4 linked regions of the Saccharomyces cerevisiae S288C genome follow. The main gene of each other region encodes a partner of the protein of the gene in region 3 in a complex. Each region holds a gene or a part of one and is shown on either strand. Other genes may lie near its edges. A codon is read from its position in the direction of its gene.

What was found.
Region 1: the proteins of SSN2 (region 3) and SRB8 are in contact, whole or in part, in a cryo-EM structure (PDB 7KPV), measured with the Saccharomyces cerevisiae proteins. Residues at the interface, in NP_010731.3 of Saccharomyces cerevisiae: Ala5 (codon at 6,469), His126 (codon at 6,106), Lys128 (codon at 6,100), Leu129 (codon at 6,097), Ser138 (codon at 6,070), Ser140 (codon at 6,064), Val142 (codon at 6,058), Pro143 (codon at 6,055), Tyr145 (codon at 6,049), Val147 (codon at 6,043), Leu163 (codon at 5,995), Ala165 (codon at 5,989), Ser288 (codon at 5,620), Gly289 (codon at 5,617), Asp290 (codon at 5,614), Phe294 (codon at 5,602), His295 (codon at 5,599), Cys296 (codon at 5,596), Leu297 (codon at 5,593), Asp299 (codon at 5,587), Ala300 (codon at 5,584), Leu301 (codon at 5,581), Ala303 (codon at 5,575), Ile304 (codon at 5,572), Asp306 (codon at 5,566), Phe307 (codon at 5,563), Ile308 (codon at 5,560), Leu310 (codon at 5,554), Lys311 (codon at 5,551), Gln312 (codon at 5,548); in NP_010004.1 of Saccharomyces cerevisiae: Leu75 (codon at 5,086), Val76 (codon at 5,083), Ser79 (codon at 5,074), Leu82 (codon at 5,065), Ser83 (codon at 5,062), Phe86 (codon at 5,053), Asp87 (codon at 5,050), Ile90 (codon at 5,041), Lys99 (codon at 5,014), Ser102 (codon at 5,005), Ser104 (codon at 4,999), Thr105 (codon at 4,996), Leu108 (codon at 4,987), Leu140 (codon at 4,891), Lys168 (codon at 4,807), Arg169 (codon at 4,804), Ile171 (codon at 4,798), Lys175 (codon at 4,786), Met223 (codon at 4,642), Tyr227 (codon at 4,630), Leu233 (codon at 4,612), Trp236 (codon at 4,603), Lys237 (codon at 4,600), Leu244 (codon at 4,579), Lys245 (codon at 4,576), Gly248 (codon at 4,567), Asn249 (codon at 4,564), Tyr251 (codon at 4,558), Ser252 (codon at 4,555), Leu253 (codon at 4,552).
Region 2: SSN2 (region 3) and SSN3 share a complex: the UniProt entries of both Saccharomyces cerevisiae proteins name them as parts of the SRB8-11 complex.
Region 4: the proteins of SSN2 (region 3) and SSN8 are in contact, whole or in part, in a cryo-EM structure (PDB 7KPV), measured with the Saccharomyces cerevisiae proteins. Residues at the interface, in NP_010731.3 of Saccharomyces cerevisiae: His1109 (codon at 3,157), Leu1111 (codon at 3,151), Pro1112 (codon at 3,148), Val1115 (codon at 3,139), Phe1117 (codon at 3,133), Arg1118 (codon at 3,130), Thr1119 (codon at 3,127), Met1120 (codon at 3,124), Lys1208 (codon at 2,860), Phe1210 (codon at 2,854); in NP_014373.3 of Saccharomyces cerevisiae: Lys18 (codon at 5,120), Ala19 (codon at 5,123), Ala22 (codon at 5,132), Leu283 (codon at 5,915), Glu284 (codon at 5,918), Met287 (codon at 5,927), Ile290 (codon at 5,936), Gln291 (codon at 5,939), Ile294 (codon at 5,948), Asp298 (codon at 5,960).

The regions. Positions count from the first base shown.
Region 1 is NC_001135.5:252,828-259,678, reverse strand, and holds SRB8 (Srb8p), read right to left. Parts: upstream 5,309-6,851; coding exon 1,025-5,308; downstream 1-1,024. Other genes in the region: TRX3 (Trx3p), read right to left, coding at 1-101; AHC2 (Ahc2p), read right to left, coding at 410-796; type 2C protein phosphatase PTC6, read right to left, coding at 5,506-6,834.
Region 2 is NC_001148.4:470,867-477,895, forward strand, and holds SSN3 (cyclin-dependent serine/threonine protein kinase SSN3), read right to left. Parts: upstream 3,842-7,029; coding exon 2,174-3,841; downstream 1-2,173. Other genes in the region: mRNA-binding ribosome biosynthesis protein NOP4, read left to right, coding at 1-1,130; MRX11 (Mrx11p), read right to left, coding at 4,252-4,875; isoleucine--tRNA ligase ISM1, read right to left, coding at 5,127-7,029. UniProt on the Saccharomyces cerevisiae protein: Component of the SRB8-11 complex. The SRB8-11 complex is a regulatory module of the Mediator complex which is itself involved in regulation of basal and activated RNA polymerase II-dependent transcription.
Region 3 is NC_001136.10:1,343,458-1,353,258, forward strand, and holds SSN2 (Ssn2p), read right to left. Parts: upstream 6,482-9,801; coding exon 2,219-6,481; downstream 1-2,218. Other genes in the region: histone methyltransferase DOT1, read left to right, coding at 1-784; adenine phosphoribosyltransferase APT2, read right to left, coding at 1,060-1,605; YDR444W (putative hydrolase), read left to right, coding at 6,833-8,896. UniProt on the Saccharomyces cerevisiae protein: Component of the SRB8-11 complex. The SRB8-11 complex is a regulatory module of the Mediator complex which is itself involved in regulation of basal and activated RNA polymerase II-dependent transcription.
Region 4 is NC_001146.8:583,783-590,359, reverse strand, and holds SSN8 (cyclin-dependent protein serine/threonine kinase regulator SSN8), read left to right. Parts: upstream 1-5,068; coding exon 5,069-6,040; downstream 6,041-6,577. Other genes in the region: FAP1 (Fap1p), read left to right, coding at 1-2,097; EFM6 (putative protein-lysine N-methyltransferase), read left to right, coding at 2,513-3,253; KSH1 (Ksh1p), read left to right, coding at 3,540-3,758. UniProt on the Saccharomyces cerevisiae protein: Component of the SRB8-11 complex. The SRB8-11 complex is a regulatory module of the Mediator complex which is itself involved in regulation of basal and activated RNA polymerase II-dependent transcription.

The sequences.
Region 1 (6,851 bases), on a different chromosome or scaffold from region 3:
GTTAGGTTCGTCAATTTAGTAATACTGGTGTATGAGGACTGGAATCTTATGCTTTTTAGCGGTCTCACCGCCATCCTCATCACAGGCTTATAGAACAACATAACAGCTTTGGTTTCTCTATGTACTAACCAATCCTGCTTTCTTTGGTTAGGGGGCTAGCTCATTTTATATCTCATCGGGGCAATTTTTTCCATCACAGAATACTAGGCAACAAAATCTGCAGAAGCACAATCCACATTTGGAATTAAAAGATAGTGAAAAATGTACATGAACCCCAACCAGTAACTTAAACATAATATTTTGGGTCACTATATCTAGGGCGTTGTTCTTCTTTGTGATTTATGCAATATACGCATATATGTATATATATATAAATATATGTTTAAAAATGTCCATAGCCGCTATTTGATCATAATAAGCCATCTTCATACAAAGCCAACAATTGATCGTTCTCTGCTATATAAGCGTTGATATCTAGGGCAAACTTGTCCCAGTCTATCTGGGGAATGTCGTCGTTGCTAATCCATTTTTGCTTTTGAAATCCGTTCTCTACAGTGAAAATTTCTCGCAGTAAATCCCTATTCTCCGCCAATACATCAACAAATTCCTGGTAATTCTTGGTATTTTGAATTTTGTGGAAAAGAGAACACAGATTCTTGACAAAAGATTCTCTTTCGTTAATAAGCGTCTCTAGCTGTGTTCTTCGTTGTTGCAGTACGATGTAATCGAGATCTTGATGCAGGTCAGTTTTTTGAAACTTGGCCACAGCATCGTGCGTTCCCTTTGGGGTGATCATTCCAGTTTAAATAGACTGGTACACGCTAGTACTGATCTTGTAAGCGGATGAGCACTTTGTCTTAATCCTCCTTAACCATCGCTCATAAACCCCAGTTTTATAATCGGTGGCAAACATGTCATTTGGTACGGTATCATTTAGAGGAATCAATTGGTTGGGTATTAAAACTGACACATAATTACTGTTATTGGTAAATTTATAATTTATCCATTTGGATATATTCTGAGATCAATGTGGATTTTTCCTCTCAAACCGAGCATCAAAAAGACTCAGGTTTACACAGGAATCGTTAAACGCAGTCGTATCATTACTGCCTGTAGCCATGTCATCTGTGTACTTGGTATTATAGTTGGAGATGAAGTGGTACGGCTCCATGGAAAATGTGCAGACATATTTATGATCTTTCTTGTCATAAATGAGCCATTTCTGTTCGTTTTCGTGCGCTATTTCAACTATGCCGATTCCTAAATTTAAACTAAACGATTCTTCTTGGTCTGCATCTTCTTCTTCCCCGTAGTCGCCACTATGAAGTTTTGTTTCCTTAACGAAAGAGGACACTTGGAATGGTGGTAAGTTCAGCAATTTCTTCGGTAGTTCGACCTTACCGCTTGTGTGGAATGCTGGGGCATCAATTGTGGATGAATAGATGGCGAATGATTTCAATGAAGACAAAATTTCGTACAAGAACAGCTTCAATCTTAAATTAAATGATATTTTATCAAACAGCTTGCATATGCTATCAATGAATGGACTTGTGGGTTTATCAGCTGATAAATCAGCGATGATGCGTTGGAAAATGGAATCCTGATGAAAGCTAAAAATTTTCAAGACGGCATCTATTTGGATTTCTCTCTTAGATAAATTTCCTTCGTTCAGTTCACTTAATTGTCTTATGATCTTTATTAGTAAATGATAGTTCTCCATGGAAATAACTATCATACCAGAAGTTTCTCTTTGAAACCTCATCGATAATGACGTTATAATCTCGATCACCACAACGATGTAATTATCATCTATCTTTTGGTTGTTGTTTTGCAAACAAGAAGTGCAGAAATCTTTCTCCACTATTTGGGTTATCATCTCAATGGTCTGCATATCCTTCAGTTGGTCAAATATTTGTGAACATAAATCATTAGAATTAGTTATTTCGATAATTTGGAATATGAAGTTCTTCAAGTCTTCCATTGCCATTGCTGGCTCATTATTCTCCATGATTTTTTTGATGCAGAAACAGGTAAACGCTTGGAAAACCCAAAGATTGGCAAAGTCCATCATAACGTAATATTCTACATGATCAATTTCGTCGACTGTGTGATCATCATCGTCACTTTTATCATCGTTGGTTACAACAGTGTCATTGTCTGGTTGTCCACTACCCAATGGAATATCGTTAAGATCGGTTTCCGACGGACAAGTTGAGTAGTACAAAATATCCTCCAAAATATTAGATGAGTTTTCCACGCTATCATTCAATAACAACATAATGATTTTTGTAGATGTTGCAAGTAATTTGGGAGATGACCCATAAGTTATTAAAATTTTCAATAGGATCTCATAATAATTTATTTCACATTCGTTGCCATGATATTTTTTTTCTAATTCATAACATGTAAGTAAAATTTTCTCAAAATTTGACTTTATGAATTGTTCTTTATGATACTTCAAAAACAGACCATATGAGCCGTCATTATTTTCCAAGTTTATTGGTAATAATCGAATAATATACTCGAGCCCCAACACATTCTGCGTCACTTCAAAAGTTAGAAGTTTTAGAGAGATCAATTGAATTAAATTTTTGTTAGTAAAGTCTTTCCTTTTCAAGAAAATGGACATAAATTTATTGTACTCCTTCAAGTTAGTGGCAATCAAAAGCATGACATTGTTTCGTGCTTTCTGGAACTGTTTGCTTGTATTTGTATCAATGATCTCGGAGTTGTGTAGTAGAAACCTGATGTTTACTTGAAACACCTCGGGAAAATTCCAAGTCTGTCCAACAGCTTGGTTTGAATTATTGATCATGGAATACACCTTCAAGACTTCTGATTTATCATTCTTCAGCTTCTCAGTTTTCAATTTCTCATCATTGTAAACAGATTGTAACTCAATCCTTAAATCGTTATCCACCTTTAAAACAAAAGGGAAGTTTTTCATAAAAAATTTCCAGAATGGCATAAATGAAGTCACATTATAAGCAGGCACGTCTTTTTCTTTCAAAACTTTCTTGTAAATGAATATGAACGTCTTCGTAAAAAGAATATGGTCATTAATGAATTGTGAGAACAATTTTTGGTAGCATAGCAAGATGTCCATCAATGCCTCCAGAGATTCTATATCACTTAGCAATTGATGGTAGACAATAAACTCGATCCACTTAAAAAAGTGGTGGAAAACCTCCAGATCGATACAAAAAATCTTGAATATTTTTAGCAACACTGTGCGGTTAACACTAGATAAAATACCGGAACATAAATGTGATAAGTACCATTCTGCAACCATGATTTTAATGCTCAGAGGAGTTTTCGACAGTTGCAAATTAGTTATATCATTGGAGAGTATTCGCATTTTGATTTGTTCTGTGATTTCCACGAGTTGGTCGAAATTAAAAATTTCATAAAATTTAACGTCATATTCCATAACGTTCCTCAATACCATATTGTATTGACTTTTCATCAACGGTGAAATTTTCAAGTTAATTAACAGCTGGACATGCACAAACTTATCATTGGAATCTTGGAGATAAAGTAGGCCGGAACTGATTAGCTTTCTGATATACGTAGGGACCTTAATGATGCCATAAGTAATTAGTATATTAAGCAGGCGATACAAAGAAGGCATCATATATGATACCACCCTCTTTTGGGCCGAAAAATTTTTGGCTAATTGGAAAACCAATGACCAAATGGCATCTTCTATCTGGAATTCGTGCAAATCCTCATCTGTTGAATTTATTCGCAATAGTAATAATTTCGCTACCAGTTGATTAGATTCATAGTGATCAAATTGCCTTGATGGATGTATGGACCAGAGAATTAATTGAATAATTTTATGCATTGTAAGGGGATTTTGGTCAACGTAAGTGGGCCAATCGAATTCTGTAGGGTTATCGTCCAGTAGCTTGGTGAACTGAGTATCTATACAATTTAATTGAATGCATGATAGTTTTGGAAATTGTTTACAGGTGACGATAGTTAATTGAAAGTCATTTGCGTTGCTGGCAGACATTATTACGTTTCGTATAGAAGAATTATTCTTCAATGACTCGTTTCTGTAACTAATTAACTCTAATTTTTTCTTCATATCAGAATTTTGATTAGTGTCGGCGTTTGAGACTATTTCAAAAAGTAAGGGCTTGTAAATTTCCCAGTTAGATGTGGGAAATATAAACACCTCTAAAGATTGTTCTTGAAAAATTTTCAAAATTAAACTGGATAATATTTTGAGAATATTCAACTTTATCTTGTTGTTTTTCTTTATATCATTGATGATGTAGTTCTCGTCATTTATCATTGATTTGCTGCTGGAAACAATATAATATTTGTGCAATAGCATATCAGTGATTTTTGTTACCAGAAAGAAGGGCTCTTTTTGACTTGATGTTATTGTAGCCGCAACAGGAGCATTTGTATCAATTTGGCAGATGTCGTTCCAAAAAATCATCAAAATATGTAAAGATAATGGCAAAAATTCGAAGTTTTCCATCTTATTTATAAACTCTACAAGCCAATGATGAAAGATTTCCTTATTGATCAATCTTAGTGAGTAGCAATTCCCCAAAAGTTTTAAAAAATAAGAAATCTGCCTCTTCCACGTACGCAGTTGTTGAGAATCGTTATAGTGATTTGTCATATCAAAGATGAGCTTTTCCAGGATGTATACAAAGGTATCCGTCCAGTCCTTTAGCAGGTGCATGGAAATGGCATCATCTGCCCCAGCAGCATTTGACCTCTTCTTTTTGTGGTTCGATTTCCATTCGATAAAATAGCAGCACTTTATCAACCAAATCGCCCTTTTCAATGGTATAAATTTTAAATAGCACTGCTCGATGACTTGCCTTCTTTTCAAGCCGTGAGGTATAAACTTGCCAATTTTGACCAGCGAAGTGTGAGACGAACTCAATTCATGCAACCACGTTTCCTTTCTATGATCAGTAAGGGTTATTCTATTAGGCAACTGAAAACCAGGCCCGTGTAATGTCGTCGTGGAATTTGAGGGGATCTTATTAATGTGGTCTTCTCTAATCTTGATAATTTTGTCGAATTGCTGGGAAAGAATGTTGGATTGAGTGACTAATGATTCATGAACAGATGATCTCGCAGATATGGACTCGAAATTTACCATTGGTGTATGGTAAAAGCCCTTAGCCACAAAGTTTGCTAGGATTTGATCTTCTGCTGCAGTGTGCTCCCAAGGCTTGAAATCAGGGTATACTTGTTCCTGAGGTTTCGAGCTTGGCACATAGGGGTGAAGATCATCTGGGGGAGTCAGCAAGTATCGACCAGAACCGTTATTCATCGCGTTATTGGCTTACCTCTATAGACCTTTTTTTAATCTTTCGATTAGCATCAAAAATCTCAGCATTTTTTCAGAAAGGTGTTTAAAATGCGCTATAAAGAATATAAAAAGTAATATATATGTATACATACTAATAAAAGGAAGAAAAAAAATACAAAAGATGATTATCTAGGACTTGTTTCCACCCAGGGGGGTGTTTAGTTTAATTTTGTTTCGTTAGATTGTGCATTCATTAGTTTGGTTTCTCTTTGGGGGCCAGTTCTGTCAACATTGGGCCAGTTGCCCCAATTGGAAAGCCTAACCACCACGCAAGTGGCGTTGTCTGAGTGTTTAGTGGCTATTGCCTGAATAAATTTGATTGTCTCCTCTGCAACAAATTGAGGAGTCGCCTTTTTCAGTCCCCAGGAGTTCACCGTAGAGGTGATGAGGTCAACAACCTCTTGGTCTGCAAGTTTATTGGTGATGCCGTCGGTGACAAGCGCCAGGAAGCATTCATCACCATTGAAGGGCAGCTTCGACCTTTCAGATCGCGGCAAATGCAAGGTATTTCCGACAAGAAACGAGAAAATATCCGGCTCACTAGATATACCATACGGTTTCCCAGCGACATCACCAAACGATCTAGTGTTGGCGAAATTATTCAAAAACCTTGTCTCTCCAAAGGCGTCTGGGTCCAATCGAGAAGGGTCTATGCTCAAACGGTGTCGTTCCCTACTGGAATTGATGTGGTGAGTTGTTGTTAATGCGTGTGCAATCCCGTCTTGATCGCAGAGGATGATCTTAGAGTCGCCCACCTGCGTGACAATGAGTTTGAGCAATCCAGAGTGCGATATGATCCACGAGTCATCGTCTTTCCCCTCATCAATGGGTGCATTCGGATCATCATACGGATATAGAAATATGGACGACGCTGTGGACCCCGCTGCGGTGCCCAGGCCGCAGCATTGGTCGAGATCGAACCTGGCAAACCCGTAGAACAATCGCAGACGGTCTAGCTCAGTGAGCAGTGCAATTTTGTCAATAATATTCCCCATTTTATCAAAAATCATCCTGCCACCATTTTGTCCAAGGATCGCACTATCGCCCTCCTTCATCAGCAGCAGTTCTTGTTTCGAGTTGCAGTTCTTTATAAACTTGTTGTAGAATTTTTCAAACGTGGACAGCTTATGTTTCCAGTAATTTCCCTCGGGAAACCTTCTTGCATATTCCTGTACCAACTTCTTCAAGTCCTGCTTGTCCCAGGAGGGTTCAGGGAAATCCAGGCTACTGCACAATTTATCGGCTAACAACTGTGACAGTTGCGCACCTTTCTCCCCATGGCCATCGAATACAGAGCAGTTCAGGGCACTTCCATACGCATTAGGCCACGACCGCATCATTTTAATGGAGTAATTGTCCTGGTTCTCTAACCGGTTGATCCTACTCGTGGCGTGACCCACGTACCCTGGAAGACCCCGTAACAAGTCCAGCTTCAGCCCAACATTTTGCGACGGCTTGCAATACGCATAAGCATTCCCCAGCCGCATCAAATTCCCCTCTTCTG
Region 2 (7,029 bases), on a different chromosome or scaffold from region 3:
TCAGTAAATTTGGCAGCGTTAAATACGCATTACCTGTTATCGATAAGTCTACGGGGTTGGCTAAAGGTACGGCCTTTGTAGCCTTCAAAGACCAATATACATATAACGAGTGTATCAAAAATGCGCCTGCGGCTGGCTCTACCTCTTTATTGATAGGTGATGATGTCATGCCTGAGTATGTGTATGAAGGTCGTGTTCTGTCCATTACTCCAACGTTAGTAAGAGAGGATGCTGGAAGAATGGCAGAAAAGAACGCCGCCAAAAGAAAGGAGGCCCTAGGTAAAGCGCCAGGCGAAAAAGATAGACGTAACTTATATTTGCTGAATGAAGGTAGAGTTGTTGAAGGCTCAAAAATGGCTGATTTGTTAACCAACACTGACATGGAGATCAGAGAAAAATCTTACAAATTAAGAGTGGAGCAACTGAAAAAGAACCCATCTTTGCATTTGTCGATGACTAGGTTGGCTATCAGAAATCTTCCTAGAGCAATGAATGATAAAGCATTAAAGGCGTTAGCTCGTAAAGCTGTCGTGGAATTTGCTACAGAAGTTAAAAATAAGGAAAGACATCCATTGAGTAAAGAAGAGATTATCAGATCTACAAAGGAAAAATACAAGTTCATGGGTCCAGATGAGATTGAAGCTCAAAAAAAGAAAGACAAAAAAAGTGGTGTTGTCAAGCAAGCAAAAGTTATAATGGAAGTTAAAGGATCAACTGCGGGAAGAAGTAGAGGTTACGGTTTTGTAGAATTCAGAGATCATAAAAACGCTTTGATGGGCTTAAGGTGGTTGAATTGTCATGCCGTTACCTCCGATGAAATTTTAGAGGGTTTGAATGATGATGAAAAGAAACAAGTAGACAATGACTTAGGCAAAGGAAGACGTCTTTGTGTTGAATTTGCGATTGAGAACTCTAACGTCGTAAAGAGAAGAAGGGAACAATTGAAGCAAGCAAGAACCAAGAGAACAAGACCAGATAATGAAGATACTGGAGATGTCGGAGAATCCGAGAATAAGAAGCCAAAAAAAGAAGAAGCAACGACGCCCACCAATCCCGATGACAAAAAGATGGGCGATGATATAAAGAGAATAATCGGGTTCAAGCGTAAGAGAAAGCACGCAAAAAAATAGAGGTAGAACCATATTTATAGGAATTTCGATTTGTATTCTCTTTACGTATGTACATTATTTTTCAAAGAGTAGATAGATGAATCTCTAACGTACTCGAAAGCTTTTATGTCGTTATTTTAGTACTGTTTTACGAGAAGCGCGAGAAACTCTCTACATATACTGTCCAGCATCTCAGTAAATCATACTGAAACCTTATTACCAGTATCGCTCCTAGACGTTCCGTTTGAAGTAATAGGCAAGACGAGAATTATTTATTTCCCATGATATACATAATGGTTATAAGTAGACCGCAAATAAAAGTATGTAAAATTAGCTATGTTTCTACATTGTTTGTGCAATGACTTTTAGGTTCGGCTGGTCATTAATAACTAGGTGATGCTGAATTCACGTATCTTATTAGATACATTTAGAATTCATGACTTCTCCTTTGTATGAGCGTGTCCCTCCTTTTCTTGATGGTTTCAGCCCTTCTACATACTACACAATGTACTTTGTTAACCGATGATAACTCTACTTTATACGTAGTTTAGACTTTGAACGGGATGAACTGGTTGTTTCATCCAATGTTTTCGTAAAGTCATTCTTTTTTATGGAAAATGTACAAAGTTGTTTATATTTTTTGCTATGGTTATTAACCTGAATACCATTAACAGATGTGTTATAATGGGAACATATTACTATTGCCGATAAGTTACGAACAAACCTACTACTACCATTATATAAAAATTAAGGGGGGTACTTGAAGTCTTTTCTTTCTTCTTTTTTGGGAATGCATGAGATATTCATATGTTTTAAAGCCCCATTAGTTGAGATGAATTATGACGAAATTCGCATACATCTGCGGAGAACAGGGTTTTAGCTCGACCTAAAATCAACCCATTATTTTACCTGAATGTTGCAGACTTGCATTCTTAGTGCCTCTAAAGCGAAAAATTGAAACTGTATGCCGATTTAAATACTATAAAGATAAAAAAAAGTTTAATGAATATAATAGTGACAGTGCTGTGGAATGAAAAATTCCAAATATATATAAAAATAGAAGCCTATCTTCTGTTTTTCTTTCGAGATGGCTCATCTGATGCATTGTTTCCTGACACCGCAGCAGCGGCTGCTGCTGCCGCGGCCAGAATTCTACGGTTAACACCAAGCCCACCTAACGCATTTGCAGCGGCACCTGCGGTGATTCCTGAAGCTTGTGTATTGTTTTTCGTTCTTGATCCAAGATTCATGATGTCATTATCGTTCGTGTGAATTCTTCTTGCCGGGTATTTGTAAGTTAGACCTTCAAATACATTTTCACTAACAGGAATATCACTTTCTGTGAAGTACTTATGTTCCAACGCATTAAATGCATCTATTCTTTTAATTGGATCATAATTTAACAAGTGGTAAAGTAAGCTTAAAGCATGCTTGTCCCTTCCTCCCGCGGAATGATACCATGTAGCAAGGTTATCCCTATACTTTGGAAACTTCGTAATTTGATCATATTCTGGATACTTCTCCAAATAAGGCCAAATTTTTTGATCGGGAGTGCCAAGAACTTCCAAAATTCTCTGTAGTTGATTCACTTGAAATGGAACAGTCTTTTTAGAGTCTAGTTTAGCTTCTTCACCTTTAAATATGGGCTGTAATCCTATCAGTTCTGCAAAAATGCAGCCAACGGACCATAAATCAACCGCAGGGGTATAGTGCCGTGCTCCCAATAGCAACTCAGGTGCACGGTACCATATAGTGACAACCACTTTATCCCCAGTATAGAGGGTTTGCAGCATATTATGAAATTTTCTGGCCAAACCTAAATCACCAATTTTAACACATCCATCTATGGTCACCATTATATTTGCGGGTTTCAAATCTCGATGAAGCACCCAATTTTGATGAAGATACGATACGCCGTCTAAAAGCTGCCACATAATAGACCGAACCATTCTTGGTGGTATCATCCTTTTTTCGGGATGGGAATGGAAGTGGATAATTTGTAGCAGATCATGCTCCGCATATTCGTATACCATATGGACACATTTCCTTTCCAAAAAAATTTCCACTAATGTGGTTAAATGCTTGTTGTGCAATTCTCGACATAATGCCATTTCTCTACAGGCACTCTGAGATATTCCCGTATAATGCAATTGTTCGACGCCATCCTTCTCTGTCTTGAACTTTTTAATGGCATAAAATACCGTCAGCGGTTTTTTAATGAGGGTTTGTTTTTGGGAATTATAGTGCGGGGATACATCTTCCCTCGTAGTTCGTATTCTTCCGGGGGTCACTCCTTCATCCTTTAACAAGTTTCTTCTTAATGCGTTTGTATTTGCCTGCATGTCCATTGAAGAGCTTGATTTTGGTTGCGTGCTGTCAAACTGCGGAATTTTCGCATTGGTACCATTCAGACTAGAACCATTAGCGGAATTGGTACCGGAGTTGATTTGTCTTTTCGCTTTGTAAACTTTACCATATGTGCCCGCAGCAATGTAGCCAATAACTTCGTACTTTTCTAAGACAGATACCCGCATTCTATCTTTTCTTGCCCTATAAGGTCCAATAGTAAAAACATCATTATTGGCCATTAGCATCGGGGCTTTTCCATGCACACTTCCGATTGTGTTTTTCTTTCCAACGAACGATTGAGCTTGCTGTTGTCCTTGTACCTGCATAGGCCTTTGGTACATTGGCTGATAGGAGTTTTGTGCTCTATCCTTGCCATTATACATTTCTCTCTCCTCCCGTCAAAACTAGGCGGCCTTAATTCAATTGGGAAGCAAAATTACTAACTTCAGTATACCCTTCCGCCTTTTTTCTTTCCTATAAACCTTTCTTGTATCCTTTTTGTCAGCAGTGATTGTGGGATAACTTTCAAGTATTGAAGCGGGAAAATGAAACGCAACTTAAGCCACACCACGTAATTCTTGAAGACTTTTGATGTATGATATTTATTTCACTGTTAAAAAAAGCTATAATTTCCTCTAATCAAAACTCTCTAAAACGAAATCAAAAATATTCGTAACACATATATAACGAAGTACAATATATTGGGAATCTATAAATCATATGCCGAGTGCGCAACTTCAACTGAAAACAATAATCCGTCTCTGGGCCAGAAAAAAAAAAGGAAAAAAAAGCTTTATTTCTTAATAAGGTGCTTTAATTTTTGAAAGGGAAGAAGCAACCATTTCCCAAAATATGGTGCTCCCCAGATACTAATGAAAATGCGTACCGGATATAGTAATTTTACTGTAACGTAGGCTACTGTGCCAGATAAAATCAACTTGTTTTTGTTGAGGCATTCCTGATATCTCTTACCAACAAATTTCTCCATAGCTGTATGACAGCTATCCATTAGGCCATTTAAGAAGTTTGGGAGCTTAAAATCATCAGAAAGATCGAGGTTATAAAGTAACCACCATAGTAGAAACAGTGGTAGTATGGCAGTTACCTCATGCAAGATGAAGAATGATGTAAGTGTTGGAACCGTGCCGGCCTCACTGAGGCGGTCGAAATAGTGTGAAAATTTAGGATTCTTGTTTAACCTTGTTAAAAGTCGTGACTTGGAAAATATTTTACGTAGTCTATCCTCCCTTCTTTTCACTGGATCTAAATTTCCCGATATGAATCTAATTTGGGTTGATCCGCCGGGCCTGGTGTTCATAAACGTGGTCAATTGCGTTGGCCTTTTAAGCATGAGCTCCAACGGTCCAGAGCCCATCTGCAGTTGACAGGGCCTGAAGAAAAGATTCATGACAGTCATGTTCCTGGTGAGGGTGCCTTGGGTGTAACACTTATCCTTACACGGTCTCTCAAAAGCAATATTTTTACATTTCTCTTCTTTGCTTCCTGTTCGTATAACGCGCTGAGAGCTGGTAAGAACAATAGGCCGAGGCCCTGCATCAAAATGTCAGTAGGGGACCTGTTAGGTACCCACTAATAAGTACAAGAGGGTTTTTATTTTCTAAGAGCCAATAATTGGCATTCTTTATATACAGGAAAGGTACATGTCATTCAAGACATGAGATGATCCACAGCTTCTTTACATCTGTCACACAATTTATCCTCTTCGGCTGAGTTGGCCTTCCAACATCTGGGACAGTTGTGCCTTTTGCTTCGTTCAACCAATATTTGAACGTTTATTCCGCTTCCCAATTCAATAGTTGGTAGACTGTTATTATTATCGTCCATTTGCAATATATCAACAGCAGATGATTGCAATATGTCGCAAAGCTCGTCAGAACTGAATGGGAGGTGATGCTTGGTGAAAATGGTAACGTGACTATGTGTTGTTTTGGTGACACCTTCTTCTAGACTTAACCTCTTGAATTCCTCCTGGAACTGTTTTAGAATTTTTAGTTCAAAGTTTTCAAAGGAGGTGACGATTTCCGTATTTGAGTCCAAAAACGGCCATTTTCCACGCATCGGATTAATGTCTATATGTTCTTGTCCTTGTAACCATCCTTCTGGTATATACTTCCATACTTCTTGGACCATAACGGGTAATATTGGTGCAAGAATTGCCCTATATGCATTTAGTATATGGACAAGCGTTGTTTGGACCTGCCTTCTTGCCAATGACGATATTTGGTTGGAATATAAAATATCCTTTGAGATATCAAAATAAAACGCCGATAGCTCGTTATTTAAATGATATTGTAGAGTAATGAGAACCTTGGAAAAGTTGTACTTTTGGTAGTGTTCTCTCGTCGTTTCCAGCAGTTCGTTTATCTTATACAAGGTATATTGATCAACACGGCGTAATTGTTCAATCGGCAAAAGGTTGAAATCTTGGGACTTCTGTAAATTACTCAATAAATAGCGAAAAGTTAGTCTAACCTTTTTTAGAGCTTCTCCTACATGTTTCATCACAGTCGGGCCAGCAACTATATCAGTTGTGAAATTCGATTGTGCTATCAGATACCTCAAGCCATCAACACCCAAAGCTGGTAAGCCTAAGTTTTCATCGCCTCGAATTATTGCTTCGGGAGAAATTGTATTTCCCACAGATTTTGACATTTTCAGACCATTCTCATCTAGGGTAAAACCATGAGTAATCACTTCTTCATATGGTGCAACAGGGACATTACTTGATGCTACTTTTGTTAGCAGTGAACTTTGAAACCATCCTCTATGTTGATCAGATCCTTCTAGACAAACTTGGTACAGGGGGGATGGGAGTTTTGACAACTTTAAGCTTTTTTCATAAAAGTCTTTGATCACACTCCATGACGACCCACTATCAAACCACACATCCATAGTATCTTGAGAACGACAGTATTCATGCGCTACGTCGTGATATTTTTCTGGCAACCATTCTTTCATGTCATTATCTTTATCGTTAAACCATGCATTAATTCCTTTTTGTTTGATTTTTTCTATGGCATGTGCCAAAATTTCTGAATTCATCAAAACAGAATCCGGTTCGCTCTTCTTGTAAAAGCTTAATATAGGGATACCCCATGAGCGTTGCCTAGATATGCACCATTCATTTCTGCTTTTCATAAAGGATGAAAGTCTTGAATAGCCTCTTTTAGGACAAAACTTGACGCGGCTGATGCTTTCCAGAGCCAAGTTTTTTACATCGTGTAAATCTGCAAACCACTGTGGAGTAGCTCTTATTATGACAGGTTTCTTGGATCTCCAGTCGTACGGATAAGAATGCGTGTATTCGTGAGATTTGTAAAGTAAATTAAGGTCGCTTAACTTACATAGAATGATTTTCGCGGTTTCGGCATCCAATACTTGCCTACCTTTTGTTAAGTCTCCTTCATCTCTCACGATGGATCTGACGGACTGAGGAAGTTCATTTAATTGGTAGCGGCCCTGGTGATCCACGGGAGAATAAATTTCAAGACCATTTTGAATACCAATGAGATAGTCATCCTGTCCATGCCCTGGTGCTGTATGAACCAAT
Region 3 (9,801 bases):
TCCTAGGCAAAGAATAATTGACCATTTAGAAACAATTGATAAAATTCCTCGTTCATTCATTCATGACTTCTTGCATATCGTCTATACCAGGAGTATCCATCCGCAGGCGAATAAATTGAAACATTACAAAGCATTCAGCAATTATGTTTATGGAGAACTTTTGCCCAATTTCCTATCTGATGTATATCAACAATGCCAGTTGAAGAAGGGTGACACTTTCATGGATCTCGGTTCGGGAGTAGGTAATTGCGTAGTACAAGCTGCGTTGGAATGTGGATGTGCATTAAGCTTCGGATGTGAAATCATGGATGATGCTAGCGATTTAACTATACTGCAGTACGAGGAACTAAAGAAGAGGTGTAAGTTATATGGGATGCGTTTGAACAACGTGGAGTTTTCATTGAAGAAAAGCTTTGTGGACAATAACAGGGTCGCTGAACTAATTCCTCAGTGCGATGTTATCCTCGTAAATAATTTTTTATTTGATGAAGATTTGAATAAAAAAGTCGAAAAGATACTACAAACGGCAAAAGTTGGATGTAAGATCATAAGTTTGAAAAGTTTAAGAAGCCTCACTTATCAGATCAACTTCTACAATGTTGAGAACATCTTCAATAGATTAAAGGTGCAAAGGTATGATCTTAAGGAGGATAGTGTTTCATGGACGCATAGTGGCGGAGAGTATTATATATCAACAGTGATGGAGGATGTGGACGAAAGTTTATTCAGCCCTGCTGCAAGAGGTAGGAGGAACAGAGGTACGCCGGTGAAGTATACCAGATGAGGCACTTTGAACGGCTTTTAACGATGAGTATGAATAACTAAGTAGAAATAACATGTACACAAGTGTAACTTATAAAAATCAAAAAATAAAAAAATAGAAAGGGAGAGAATAAGAGTAGGTAATAATATGAATTAAAAGAAGGATAAGGCGCCGTGGACCAGGTACCTAAAAAGTAAAGTACCAGTTTATATTAACAAAAGAAGTTCAAGCTAAAAAGTAGCAATATGCGAAGGAAAGGAAAATAATTGAAGGAGGAGGCAGAGAACAAATTTAAATCAGGAGTGCAATATGGAAAAAATAGGAGCAGATAATTTCTCCTCACCATGTAGACTATCTAACACTAGCACAAAGTCATATTCCAGAATATGAGCACCCACTTGTCTGATAAGGTCGCCCGCAGCATATGCCGTTCCACCGGTGGCGAGAACATCATCCACGACAACCACGTTGGAATCAAAGGGAATGGCTTCAACCTGCATTTCAAAAATTTCTTCATGGTCTAATTTTGTGAATGTTATAGAAGCACACTCACCCGGCAATTTTCCAACTCTCCTTATTGGAACAAATCCAACTCCCAATGCCAGTGCTAGGGATGGCCCAAATAGAAGGCCTCTAGCTTCTATACCTGCAATAAAGTCGATCTTTTCTTTGCCGAACTTTTCTTCTAAATGCGTCTTGAACGTGTGTACCAACTTTTGGAATAGCGTGGGGTTGCCAATAATAGGTAAAAAATCCTCAAATTGCTCACCCTCTATGGGAAAGTCAGTGAACTGCCTAAATGCAGTTTTTATTTCCTTTGCGTAAGATTCAGAAATAGACATAATGAGAGGCGGACAGGCAATGAACAGGCATATACACACGCACTCTCTTTTTTTAAGGAGCGAAAATTATCTGAACGATTGGTATGAACGGGTGCAAAATTTACTTTAACACCCAAAAAGTATATGCGTATATATATATATTTATCCTTGTTATTTTTGTAAATTGAGCTATGCAACATAAGATTCCTGCGATGTAAGAACTACTTGCTAATCAAGAGAACTTCAACAATTTTCCATCGCAGAGACGAAAAAACTGGAAAAAAATAAAAAGAAAAAATTGAAAAAGAATCGCGACTTCCGATTACATAACCTTATACGGAGTATGATACCATTCTTGACATCATCAACACACCATCGCAGACCCACGTGGCCGCTTCGTGTGCCTTGAAAATACAGCCTTAAACGCAATCTCATTCGCGTTCTGTGGAAATTGTCTCGGACTACACGCTGGGCGTGCATCACCAGTGAAAATGCCGTACCGCCCCGCTTCCGGTTTTGTTTTTATAAATCCGACTGGAGAAATAGACTTCTGGGTTTACACCCCGGAATAATACTAAAACCAAAACTGGTAAATAGGGCTACAGATGAGCAGGAAAACGTTGCCGGAAAAAGTTTATTTATCCGAGAGAATAATTGATGAAGAAGTAGCGGTATGCACAGTAGCGGCGGAAGTATTAGCAATTTTTACTCTGGTGTGCACAAGAGTGTTCATCATTTTTTTCACGGCTAGGATATGCCATGGAATATGGCCATCTTCGCCATCAGAGAGACCGTACCACACGTTTAGAGCAGCCAGGTTGCGAAACTCTTCTAAGATGGTTTCCAGCAATTGTGTACTATCAGAATGTGGACAGTTTAAAAGGTTGACTGCGAATTTGTCCCAAACCGTATCACCGTCGCATTTTTTGAATTTGATCAAAGCACCACTCCTAATAGCACAGCGATGCTGTGAGTGTGCCAGTGGGAACGGGTGCTGAAATACTATTCCATGGATGTCCTGGTCTATATCCCTTATTTCATAGTCGTATAATCTGGTCATATCCATGCGTCCTCCAAACCTAGTGTCTTTGTAGATCGGCTTGAAACTAGGGTACAATTTGTCCTCATCTATGAAGGAGATTTTAGAGTTGTCATCCACACACACCACAGCAAGATGTATATTCCTACCAGAAAGTCTCCTCCAATTCATCAATTCATCATCCGGCAGTATGCCATTCAATCTAGTTAAAATTAGACATATTTTTCCGAATTTTTTAGACGCTAAATTTAGGGCGATATTCCATATTTGATTACATGCGTCGTCAAATTTTCCTCTGGAATTCCCGACGTACCACGTTTTCGTCATGCTGCCTTGTCCATAGCTATCTGAAAGAGCTGCAAAAACCCACTCTTTATCTACACTACGCGAGTATGCCAGGTGGATGTACGAGTCATAATATATTATAGAAGATGATCCTGTACTGTTATTCTGCTGCTGCTGTTGCTGTTGCTGTTGCTGTTGCATTTGCTGTTGCTGCATGGTTCTGAAATTCACTTTCTCCGGCAGCGTATGCGCAATGTGGGTGAACTTTACAGATTTTGGCGGCAGCATGTTATATATAGAAATTGCTACGTTGACGTACTGATCCACTGTCACCAGTACGTTTCTAATGAAATCCATAGGAATAACTTTCAAATATAGTTCAATGTTAGGCATCTTGGCACAAACTTCGTTCTTGATCACCTGAAAAATATTCGCCTTGTCTACTAATTCAGTCAGAGTTGCATTATCCAAGGGTAAAATTATTAATATTGGTGGCACGTTTTTGATGGAGTTCTTATTATTAGAACAGTATGAAACAATCTGCGCAGCTAACAACAGTAACTTGTTTTTATCAAATGCCTTCAAGTACATCAGTCCGGGCGGGTCTTCATTAGTTAGTTTAAGCAACTCACAAAACCCTAACTCTTGATTAATATATGTTTGAGATAGAGTTGGCGCAAATGACAGACAATCTTCTTTGAAAGATGAACTTAATAATAAGGATTTGAAGTTTTTTATTCCATTTGGAGGGCGAAAATTGAGGAACTTAATAAATGGCTGAGAGTCGTGTTTGACTTTGATTAGTTCGTGATGTTTCTTTACAAAAACGTACGGCTGCTTCATGTTATAGAATTTGGAGATCGTATCATTGCCATTTAATCTATCGAAAGTGGAAAATAACTGTAACATTGTGGTTGTTATTAAACCTTCTTGGCAATCTTTAACTCCCCTATAGGCGATCTTTGGAATACCGAGGTTTCCTAAGATATTATAATCAGTGACGACTTGTTCTGCAATTAAATCTAAGATGTCTTGTTCTTTTTCTGAAATTGTAACAACGGGAGTAGGCGTGATGAAAATGTCCGGTATAGATGCTAGCGGCATGTGTCTCAATAGAAACGGTAGACTACTTGATGATTCAAAAGATAAATTGGGGTCCGCCGGTGTGAATTCGGGGATACCACTCTTGTCTTTTGGTAGGTTAGAAATTTCAGAATTTACCATATTCGGCGTAAATTCGGACGGATTACTGGTAACATTATTATCTTCCAAGGTCATCTTTATATTGGATTCTATGGGTTGAATAGATGAATCAACGGTCTTCAGTGGTGACTCGGTCTGTGGTATATCATTTTGAGGAATTTTCCAAATAGAGTTGAAGCCTTCCTTATTGCTAGTGATATTAGCATCGTTTACTGAATTGAAATTTTCTTGCTTTATAATAGAGTCTTGTAGACTTGGGATCGAAGAGTAATTTATGTATTGAGGCTCATGAATATTAGTATTAGTACTGATGTTATCAGAAGGTTTCATGTCGTCGCGTACGTTCAATGACTTTAGATCCTCATCGCTGCTACCGTTCTCTTCTTCATCCTCTTCCTCTTCAGAGCTAGAAAGATCCGCCATAGAAATATCAAAGTTTAATGCTTCCTCCTTTTGCAACGGACTGAAGGAAAATTTCCCTCCAGATTTGTATTTGTTATCAACATTGTTTTCTATTATGGGGTTAAAATTCAGTGGAGCGAACACACTTTTGCGTCTATCGCGGGGTGTTTCCACAGGGAGTGGCGCACCTGGGTCCATATATAATGGACTCGTTGGCAAGGTCATTTCATCTATCGGAATATCCAAATATTTCCTCTTTCCATTTAATCTTTTTGTAGTTCCGCTCATCGTACGGATATTCGGTTTTTCAGATGAGGGAAAAAATGGAATATCTTTACCAAGATCAGTATGCATTTCCTTGTTATTTTTATTAATGCTTTTATTGTTATTATTTTCTTCTTCATCAGACATTTCGAACATATCCTCGGTAATTTCGTCCGATATACTTTTGTTCGATTCGTTTGTAGAATTCGATTTATTGCTATCGCCAAATAAATCCTCATCCTCATCCTCACCAAACAATTCCTTGTCTACCATAGAGTCACTTTTATCACTTGGCAGATTTTCGTTCTGTTCTCGTTGTTCCAGTGTTCCCTCTTTATTATGAAGTGTGTCTACGCTTCCTGTCTTGCTCACGGAATTATTTACCTTTTCGAGTGATCTACCATTTGCCTCCAGTTCCGTTTTCAGTGGGCTGTTCTCTAAGTCATTTGATACTGTAGTTTGTTTCCTATCATTAAATAATTCATTCTCATTGATGTTATTATTAGGGGTATTTAAGAAAGCTGGAGCAAATTGATCGCTGGGCGACAGCATTAATTTATCAATGCCTGTGAAATTAGGGGAGAAATCTTTCGGAGATATCTTATTAGTTTCTTGGACAGAATGATAAGAAGCGGGTTGAGAACTAATTGAGTTGTTCTTATAATGTTGAAACTGTTCTGTATATGCTCCATCTGAGCTTAAGGGATTTGTACCAGCAATATTACTGCTCAATACGCCGGAACTTCCTGGAGTCCTATAGGCAGCTGTTTGCTTTAATTGTATGAAATCATCAATGGCATCCAGAGCATCTTGCAAACAGTGAAATTCTGATGGATCTCCGGAAGTAGAATTTTCTATATCAGCTACTGGTTGGGCGAAGATTAAATGCAGCGGCCATACTAGCTTCTTTGCTTCAAGTAAGGGAGTTAAATACGAAGCTATAGTAGGTGTGTGGCCGTTGAGATGTCCTAAGTCAGGAACAACAGCAACCCATTTCAAATTTTTTTTATTTTGTAAGTTTATACCATGAGATACACTTAACGTCGTCAAGAGAAGTTCTGTATGTTTTGGTGGCGTTATCAAGTATCCTTGCTTGGAAGCAGGGGCCAAATGCATCCTTATTCCAGATGGTGCTAAATAAAGCGCATGCTTTGAAAGGAAAGATTCTTCCAAATTTTCCTCCTTCATTGGTACTAATCCCATGTTCTTGGCACATAACGACACTGTGAGATCTCCGTTTACAAAAAGGTGTGGTTCTAGCTGTACGAGATAATTTGGCACTCCGCTTAATGATATGCAGGCATTCCCAAATTGTATTAGCTTATTGTGTGAACCTAATGCCAAATTAATGTAAATTTTCCTTCTTAAAGCTTTTAAAAAAAGAGCATAGTGTGGCGGTAAGTTTGGCTTTGAATAATCGGCAGTGAAAGTTCCGATTTTATCTGGGCTCACTGGTTTATGTTCTATCGCAGGAGGTGTCGGTACCGGATCATCATTTATACTGAAACACCATAAATCCCTTGAAAGCAGCGCAACTAGAGTCTTTGGATCCTGCTTCCGTAGCATGAATTCCATTTGGATAGACCATTGATCGTTTTGGGCTTTAGAAATGTACTGATGATAGTTGATCTTTTTGATTTTCTCCACTCTATAGAAGCTGGATAAAACATCCTCAAGTCTGTACGTGGAAGCGTCAGAACTCATACTACCTCCTCAGATCTTGATATCCAGCTTAAACGTTCTTAAAATATAGTTACACCTTACTTCAACAAAGTAATTTCCGATTTCACACCATTCGTCTTAAAGGGTTGTTGTAAGAGTGTACTACAATAAATACTACACTACTTGATCCGGCACTACCCGGTCCCTCCACCTGAAAAAATGTTTCAATTCTTCGCTTTGTTAAGCGCGAATATATCGATGCTATTTTCTAAGGATTGTTTATTCAGTATGATAAAACAATGAACAGCAGGAAATGCGGAGGAGAATCACTTACTCGGCTGTTATTCATCTTCTTATTATAAAAGAATTGCTCCATTTTGGTTCGATCCCTTAATGCCTTACAAAATCAACCGAATGAAAAATTCGCTCGAGATAAATGAAACCGGAGGTACCTTATTGGTTGATGAGCGGAAGAGATTAAGAATAGGTGAGTTATATCGCTACAAGTTTTCCGTGAACAAAGATGTAATTAAGGAACAAGGGCTAGATGTATCGCATCTATTCTTGAGGATCAAGAACGAGGAAAGCGCGCTTCTGCGACCGCTTTATTTGACGGGGCCATATTCTTTTTACATCGATGTTAGGCCGCATAACTATAATGAGAATCGCAAGTTTCCAGGGAAGGAAATTATTCCATTTGTTGAAAATCTAAAGCCGGACGAAAGATTTAAAGTAAAAATATTATTGAATGAGAATTCTAGAGTTGGCGACACTTCTCTTTATTCATGGACAATAGATATAATTTCGCAGTTGGCGGTAACCACAATTCCGAAGCTGGAATTTTCGTTTAGGATAGGGACTACAAGGAAGGTGGTCAAGAAATCGAATGGGCTCTTTAAGAGTATTGAAGGTGTCTCTTTAGAGATGTGGGATACTGAAACCCTTTGGGATTTACCACCAAAATTTCCAGAAAAGCCTGTACATCTCGTTATTATGACACATGGTATATTTTCTAATATCGGGTGTGATATGCTATATATGAAAGATAAAATTGAAGAAATGACGTTTCCTATGGATGAGTCTATTAATCCGAATATAATTGTTCGAGGTTTTATGGGCAACGTCGGGAAATCAGGTCACGGTATACATTGCTTGGGCGTTAGAGTTGGAAAGTATGTGCTTGAGACTGTTGATAAGTTGAATAAAAAGTACAAAGTAGACAGGATATCATTCATTGGCCATTCCCTAGGAGGGCCAACTCAATCCATGGCGGTGCGTTACATAAGTATTAAAAGACCAGATTTTTTTGATGCAGTTAAAGGTGTTAAACCCGTTAATTTTATTACGTTAGCTAGTCCTTTCATCGGTGTTATTGGCGACTTCCCCTTTTATTTGTCTGTTCCACTGGATATGGGCGCGCTTGGTTTGACAGGAAGGGACTTGAATTTAAAATATACACCGTTAACGTCCAAAGATGGGTTGTATGCAGACGATGAAGTGTACCCAGAACATTCCAAGTACATATTAGAAATTCTTCCACAGGCGCCGGCTAAAAAAGTATTTGAGTCTTTTAAGAGGAGAACGATATATGCCAATGTCATGGATGATGGTATTGTTCCATTACGAACTGCTGCACTTTTGTATCTGGATTGGCGAAGCATACACAAAGTCCAGAAAATTAGGAAAAAAAATAAGAACTCTCCAACTTCAAGCGAGTTTGTGTCCTCCGATAGCCCAGAGAGTAGTGGAGCATCATCACCTTCAAACGAAAATGGTAACAACGTCGGGGAGATTCCTGCAGAAAGTCCAAACAAAAAAGCGACGTTGCAGTGGACTTTACCTCAGGCCGTTATCCACGGAAGTAAAATAAATAAATATAAGAGAGGACAAACTAATGAAGCCAACTCAGATTCGGATAATGAACAAGGAGTATTTCTTGATGGTCAAAAGTTCGAACCTCCAAAAGAAGCCAATACTGTATTGTCTGCATTATCGGTATTGACAGCTGCCATACCAGATCAGGAGTATATCAAAAACCCGGCTGTAAGGAAAGATGAAGTCATTCATGATAAACTTTATCACCCGGAAGAATTACCTCCGCCGCATTATGAGAATAGGCCTATCGTTAAGAAGCTTATATATCCTAATGAGAGTGTCAACAGGATTCAAGAGCGCATTGCTAGAGAATGGCAAGAAACGATGACTTGGAGAAAAGTATTAGTGCAGATCCAGCCTGATTCCCATAACAATATCGTAGTAAGAAGAAGATTTGTTAATTTATACGGCTATGTTGCTGTGGAACACATGGTTGAGCACCATTTCGGATCCAAGGTTTGTAGCGAGCTGGCTGAAGATGCAAATGAGCCAAAAGATGAGCCAAACCAGTCATCGCAAGCGGACCGGTCGAATGAGTATAACGAGGGGGAAATATCAAAGGGCGCGGAGAATGCCACATGAGTTTGATGATTTATAATGTATACGTAAAAAAAAATATCATAGATGAAATAAAAGTTTCTTAAGAATATCACAATGACCACAATAAAGTGTGGATGTTGTTTAAAAAAAAGATAGCCCTGTAGGGGGCTCGAACCCCTAACCTTATGATTAAGAGTCATACGCGCTACCGATTGCGCCAACAAGGCTATTTCGTTGGAAAAACTAATTAATTTTGGAAGTAATAGGACATTAAACATGTTTGTTGCAATGAAACTTTAAAATATCATCTGTTTAGTTTTATTCATGTTACTTGTTGGAATAAAAATCAACTATCATCTACTAACTAGTATTTACGTTACTAGTATATTATCATATACGGTGTTAGAAGATGACGCAAATGATGAGAAATAGTCATCTAAATTAGTGGAAGCTGAAACGCAAGGATTGATAATGTAATAGGATCAATGAATATTAACATATAAAACGATGATAATAATATTTATAGAATTGTGTAGAATTGCAGATTCCCTTTTATGGATTCCTAAATCCTCGAGGAGAACTTCTAGTATATCTACATACCTAATATTATAGCCTTAATCACAATGGAATCCCAACAATTACATCAAAATCCACATTCTCTACATTACTAGTATATTATCATATGCGGTTTAAGAAAATGGTATAAAGATTAAGAAACAGTCATGAAAATTTAGTGAAGCTGAAATGCCAGTATTGATAATACGATAGAATAATGAATGACAAAGTATATAAGGAAGATGAAGTAACATTATTATGGAGAACTATCGACTCCCTTTTGTGAATTTCTATATCCTCAAGGAGAATTGCTTGTATACTATGTATATATAATATTATAACCCTTGACAACAATGGAATAATTAGTCCTTAAACGTTAGACTGGCTGGGAC
Region 4 (6,577 bases), on a different chromosome or scaffold from region 3:
AAGTCCGGTAAGTCGTCGAAGGATGAAAATGGGAACAGGTGGATAGGCGTGTTTGCCTGTGCAGATAATAGAGTTGTCGACTACTCATGTCGCAAGCATTCATTCATAGAATCTTGCATAAGCCCACCCACAATTAATGGAGAAAAGGCATGCCCATTTTTGCCTAGCTCTTTGAAAACTTGTCCCTGTGGCCGGACAGCCCTAGAGGAACTGACTAAGCCTCGTAAGCATTGTGATGATCCGATACCAACCTGCGACTCAAGATGCGGTAAACCACTAAAATGTGGCAAACATTCGTGCCCCTTCACTTGTCATGATAAAGCCTGTATGGAACCCTGCTTGCAAATTGATAGTGTAAAATGTGCTTGTGAGCAAAGTACATTTTCAGTTCCATGTGGATTTCAAGGAAGGCCTCGCTGCAATATTAAATGCGAATCCCTGATGTCATGCCGTAGACATAGATGCACCGATAGGTGCTGCAGTGGTAGGCCATCGGCGATAAGAAGGAAGAAAAACTTGTTCAGAACGCAAGATTTGTTGGATGAGTCTCTTGTGGAAGCAAAACATATCTGCCTAAAACCGTGTAACTTGACCCTATCATGTGGAATTCATAAATGTCAGAGAAAATGTCACCCAGGAAAGTGTCCGCCCTGTTTAGAGAGTGATTCGAACGATCTGGTCTGCCCATGTGGCAATACAGTTGTTCCTGCACCCGTGCGTTGTGGCACGAAGCTACCTACATGTAATCATCCATGTATTAAAGTTGTGCGTGGCGAATCTACGTGTGGTCATAAACCAATGCCACATACCTGTCATTCCTTGGATGTGTCGTGCCCGCCATGTACGGAAACCGTATTTAAACCTTGTAAATGTGGGAAGAAAACTAAAGTGAGAACGGTTTGTTTTCAAACAGACGTATCATGTGGAATAAAATGTGGGATACCACTCTCTTACTGTTATCATACCTGCCAAAAAACATGTCATTTACCAGGAAATTGCCAAAAGGTGTGTAAACAGACCTGTGGGCAAAAAAGGCTCAATTGTAATCATGAATGTCCTAAACCGTGCCATGGTAAGACAGAGTGTCCCGATTTACCTTGTGCCACGCTAGTGAAAATTTATTGTAAATGTGGAAGGATCAAAAAAAGTGTTACTTGTGGCGCAAAAAGTGATAGAGTAAGTGTAACTGAATCTTCCGTGCTGGATTGCAATGAAGAATGTGAAGCTTTGAAACGACTAAAGGAATTGAAGGAGGCATTTGGAATTAAGGAAGAAACCAATAATTTTACAAGTAATGAACTAGATGCGTTAAAAAAACTGGTCTCTGTTGCTACAACATTTGAAGAACTGCAGTTACCGTTTACAGAGGCAGCATTATCAGTATATTCAAAGCAAGAAAGATGGTGTTCACAAATTGAAGCTATTCTTAATAAATTAATGGACGATAAAACACGTTCAAGCTTGCATTTCAAACCTATGAGGCCTCCTCAACGCCACTTCATCCGTGAACTAGCCAAAGCTTACGGCCTATATTCCGAGTCTCAGGACAGAGAGCCCATGAGATCTGTATTTATTAAGAAAGAAGATAATGGCGCAAGCAATAAACCAGTCTTATCATTAGCAGAAGCTTACCCACTATATGAATCATTTAAACAATTGCAGAAGGAAAGGAAAGCACAAGAATTTCAAGCTCGCACCACAGCTAAACTAATCAACTTCGAGGTTCAAGATACGGAACCTAAAGTAGAGGTGGCTAAGAAAAATGGTTTTTTGGTTCAAAATTTGGTTGCTGGAAATACTGCCGAAGATCTAAGGAGATTTTTTGAACCACATCTCAAGCATACGTTAGTAGTGAATCCTCAATACCTAATCCTTGATGATGGCAAAACAGCACTAGTGTATCCTGAAAATTACGAAACAGCATCCGTGAATACCGAACGTGACATGGAGCTTTTGGTTGGACACTTCGATTTTATGGCCAAAGAGGCATTTTTGGCCGATTCCATTTCGTTGTGTTCAACTGAAGAAGAACTTGAAAGAAGGTTGGATACGCCCGTAATTCAAGAGGATAGTCCTGTAATGGATAATAATACATGAACTATAATAGCGTGTCATTATTTATTACGCGGAATTCTAATTAAATAGAAATATCTAACTTTTATTTTTTTTCATCCTATCTCATTTCTTGTTTCTCCCTGTCGTTGCTAAAATACGAGGATCTGCATATGTTTACATATCAACGTTCCCGTAAACGAATGGAGAATACTGAGTGTCACGTTAATAATACGGATATTATAATTTGGAAACCTAGTCAAGTAAAACCAGAAGAGATTTTTCTTTTCTCTTAAGCTTTTTTGGCTTGACCAAACGAAAAGTCCCTCACACCCAAACACTGAAAGTAATTCTTCGTATTTAAATAATTCAAAAGTTATGATGAGCAGGCTCTATGTAAAAAAATGGCCCATAATTTTCCCTAGAACGTTATAAAAACGCGACTAGTGAGGTATTGAGTATGGAGAGTATATTTGGTGGGTTTGGAGATCTAGTTGTTCCTAGGCCAAAGGAGCATCTCGGTCAAACAGACCTTTCCTTCGGTGGAAAATTATTGCCTGCATTGAAAATTTGTGAAGATGGCGGTGAAAGTGGTTGTGGCGGTAAAGTCTGGATCGCTGGCGAACTGTTGTGCGAGTACATACTCGAGAAATCAGTTGACCATCTGCTAAGTAAGACGGTCAATGGTACGAAACAATTTAAAAAAGTCTTAGAATTGGGTAGTGGTACAGGTTTAGTTGGATTGTGCGTGGGGTTGTTGGAAAAAAACACATTCCACGATGGCACTAAAGTATATGTTACGGACATTGACAAGTTGATACCACTATTGAAAAGAAATATAGAACTGGACGAAGTTCAGTATGAAGTTCTTGCGAGGGAACTTTGGTGGGGTGAGCCGCTGTCGGCAGATTTCTCACCTCAAGAAGGTGCTATGCAAGCAAATAACGTTGATCTAGTTTTGGCAGCTGATTGTGTGTATCTCGAGGAAGCTTTTCCATTACTAGAAAAAACACTACTTGATCTCACTCACTGCATAAACCCACCTGTAATCTTGATGGCTTACAAGAAGAGAAGAAAAGCTGATAAACATTTTTTCAACAAGATTAAAAGAAATTTTGACGTTCTTGAAATTACAGATTTTAGTAAATTTGAACATTATCTTAAGGAAAGAACCCACTTGTTTCAGCTTATCAGGAAGTAACCTGACACAGTGAATTTATCTCTTAATGATCCTGATCTTATTATATTTAGTAATGAACTTTTCGATAGACATTTGTAATTCATGAAAAAACGATATAACATTCATTTTTGTAGTGTGGTGTACGCATGGTGGGACTGCTCTTCTTGAGCGAAATTTTGATCTTCAATAGAGTGAGCAACGACAACTCAAGGATAAAGACAGAACAGCGGTAAACATCGTTTGCAAAATAACTAGAGAGCCGGATCGATTTACTTTGCAAAGTTGCGTCCTTTTTCCACGACAGAATATGTCTGCATTATTTAATTTTCGTTCTCTTCTGCAAGTGATATTGTTACTGATTTGTTCATGTTCTTATGTTCATGGGCAGTGGCCGTCTCTCCTAGATCGTTACAAAAATCATGAGGTTTTGGGGGCCTTCTGGAAAATGGCACGTGTTGGTGAAAGGGCCAGTCCATATGTTAGTTTAGCATGTATTTTGATGGCCATCAGTCAATTTAACAGCTGATTGGAAGATACTTAGTCATATGGATTTAAAGTTACGCAAATCAAGGTCATAGAAGGTGCAGTACCTTTTAAAACAAAGAGTATAAGTGGATTCAGACGAAGTGTCTCTTTAATTCTATCGTCTGATAGCGTACAAGTAAGGGTGCTATGAGCTAGCACGCACAGCAAAAATATAAACACTTTTGTATTTTTTTTTATTTTATAGTGTTTTGTGTTGAGTATTCATCTATTCGACCTCTATAGAGATTTAAGAAGGGAATTCATTGTCACAATAAGGACGCATAGTTGTTCATTTTAGACATCATTTACAGCACTTCCGTAAACTACCCCATATTGCGATTGAATACTACCGAAAAGGCTCAAGAATTTACGTGGTGCCCAATCAATTATATAGAATGAGGAACAATGGTAAGTAATGAATAATCATGGTCAGTAATAAAAAAGCAATCTCGTCCATGTTTCTTTTTGAAACTCAGAGCTTGACTCTGTTGCATTGGTATTTCATCATTTGATGAATTATTCACTATTCCATCTTCTTCTTACACAAGTTTACCAATAAATAACTCATCTGAGTTATTCAGACTTTTTATTAGATCAGTTCGGCATATTTAACTATGCAAAAGTTTTACACTGCTAAAAAGTAGTGTAAACAACAAACTGTTAAAAAAATAAAAAGGGGTGAATCCATGGACCAAGAATAGTAAGCTCCATTGGGTTACTCGATCCAGCACGGGAAAGAGCAATCGTCATAACTATGGTTTAGATTCCATACAAACGGAATCCAGTACCGAAGAAAACACCAGTACCCTGCAATAGAGGTACCAGGTCAAGAAGCAGAATACCCAAGGGCATCCTCCTTAATGAGTTGATTTAAACAATTTAAAATTTTTAAATCTCATTACGTTTTCCGCATACGAATTGGTGGGAGACTTTCAACCCAAAGCATATTACTGAGTAAAAAAAATTTTACTCCATTTTGTAAGCTTCGATTTGTGACGATTCTTTGGTCATGGATTGAAGAACTTTAAACGAGAAGAAATTAGAAAACAGGTGAAGACCACTATTTAGTTCTTTACCGCAACATAGGATAAACAAAGTTATTTTCTTACTCCTTTATATATTTGAAAAAATATAAAATCCACGGAAAAACATCGAAAATTCATTTTTCATGAAGGAAAATTAGGGTTCATACAGGAGTAGAGTTCATTGATGTGGTAGCAACCTTGTTAGCACTCATATTGTTCGAACAAAAAATGCCCTCTCAAACTTTAGTTGAAGAGCGATAAGGCATCTGAATCTCAAAAGTTAGACATGTCGGGGAGCTTCTGGACATCTACACAAAGGCATCATTGGCAATATACCAAGGCATCATTGGCTAAAGAGAGGCAGAAGTTATGGCTATTGGAGTGCCAGCTGTTTCCTCAAGGTTTGAATATTGTAATGGATTCGAAGCAAAACGGCATCGAACAATCCATCACAAAGAATATACCAATAACTCACCGAGACTTACACTATGATAAAGATTATAATCTAAGGATCTACTGCTATTTCCTGATAATGAAGCTTGGAAGGAGACTAAATATAAGACAGTATGCACTGGCTACAGCACATATTTATCTATCAAGGTTTTTAATAAAGGCTTCAGTTAGAGAAATAAACCTATATATGCTGGTTACTACGTGTGTATATTTAGCATGCAAAGTTGAAGAATGCCCGCAATATATCAGAACTTTGGTAAGTGAAGCCCGTACCTTATGGCCCGAATTTATTCCTCCTGACCCTACTAAAGTTACTGAGTTTGAGTTCTACTTACTAGAAGAATTGGAAAGTTACTTAATTGTCCACCACCCTTATCAATCCTTAAAGCAAATTGTTCAAGTCTTAAAGCAACCGCCATTTCAAATAACACTATCGTCAGATGATCTACAAAACTGTTGGTCCTTAATCAACGACAGTTATATAAATGATGTTCATTTGCTTTACCCTCCTCATATTATCGCTGTTGCATGTTTATTCATTACGATTTCCATTCATGGGAAACCAACCAAAGGATCATCGTTAGCATCTGCGGCTTCTGAAGCCATCAGAGATCCTAAAAATTCTAGTTCTCCTGTTCAAATAGCTTTTAATCGTTTTATGGCAGAATCTCTTGTAGATCTTGAGGAGGTTATGGATACGATTCAAGAGCAAATTACATTATACGATCATTGGGACAAGTACCACGAACAATGGATAAAGTTTCTGCTACATACTTTGTATCTTAGACCAGCATCTGCAATTTAATCATGCGAAGAATAAATTTAAAAACCGTTAAGCCTGTAAATTCAATCATTATGGTGGTGATGATCCGTTTTGGAAATGTTTCGTCCTTGACTACCTTTGTTTAACATGATATTGGAACGTCAAGACATATTGAGAATAGGTACCGTTATAATGCATAATTAAAAATTGCTTTGATATTGAGGTGGAAAGCTGGGTCGGACCTTGACATGTATTAAATTTAAAGAATCGAACCTAGTGTTTTTTTCTCCAGTGTTCAAAAAATCCTTTCAATTTGGTCTACTGCAGTAGCCCACTTATAACACACATTCAAGATGGGTGAACCGTGGCTCAAACTTCCCCATTTTTCAGAGTATGTGCAACCACAAAACCTTTGTCAGAAATTCTTATGGCAGGCCAAATTGATAAACTAACAGAAATATTAAACGCCCCCCAAGTTAAAATACTAGAACATGTTGGCTTATTTCAAAAACATTTTCTTCCTTTTCTAAAGTGTTTGATAATACTTTTGCATATATATAAGTGGACACGGACTAGTAA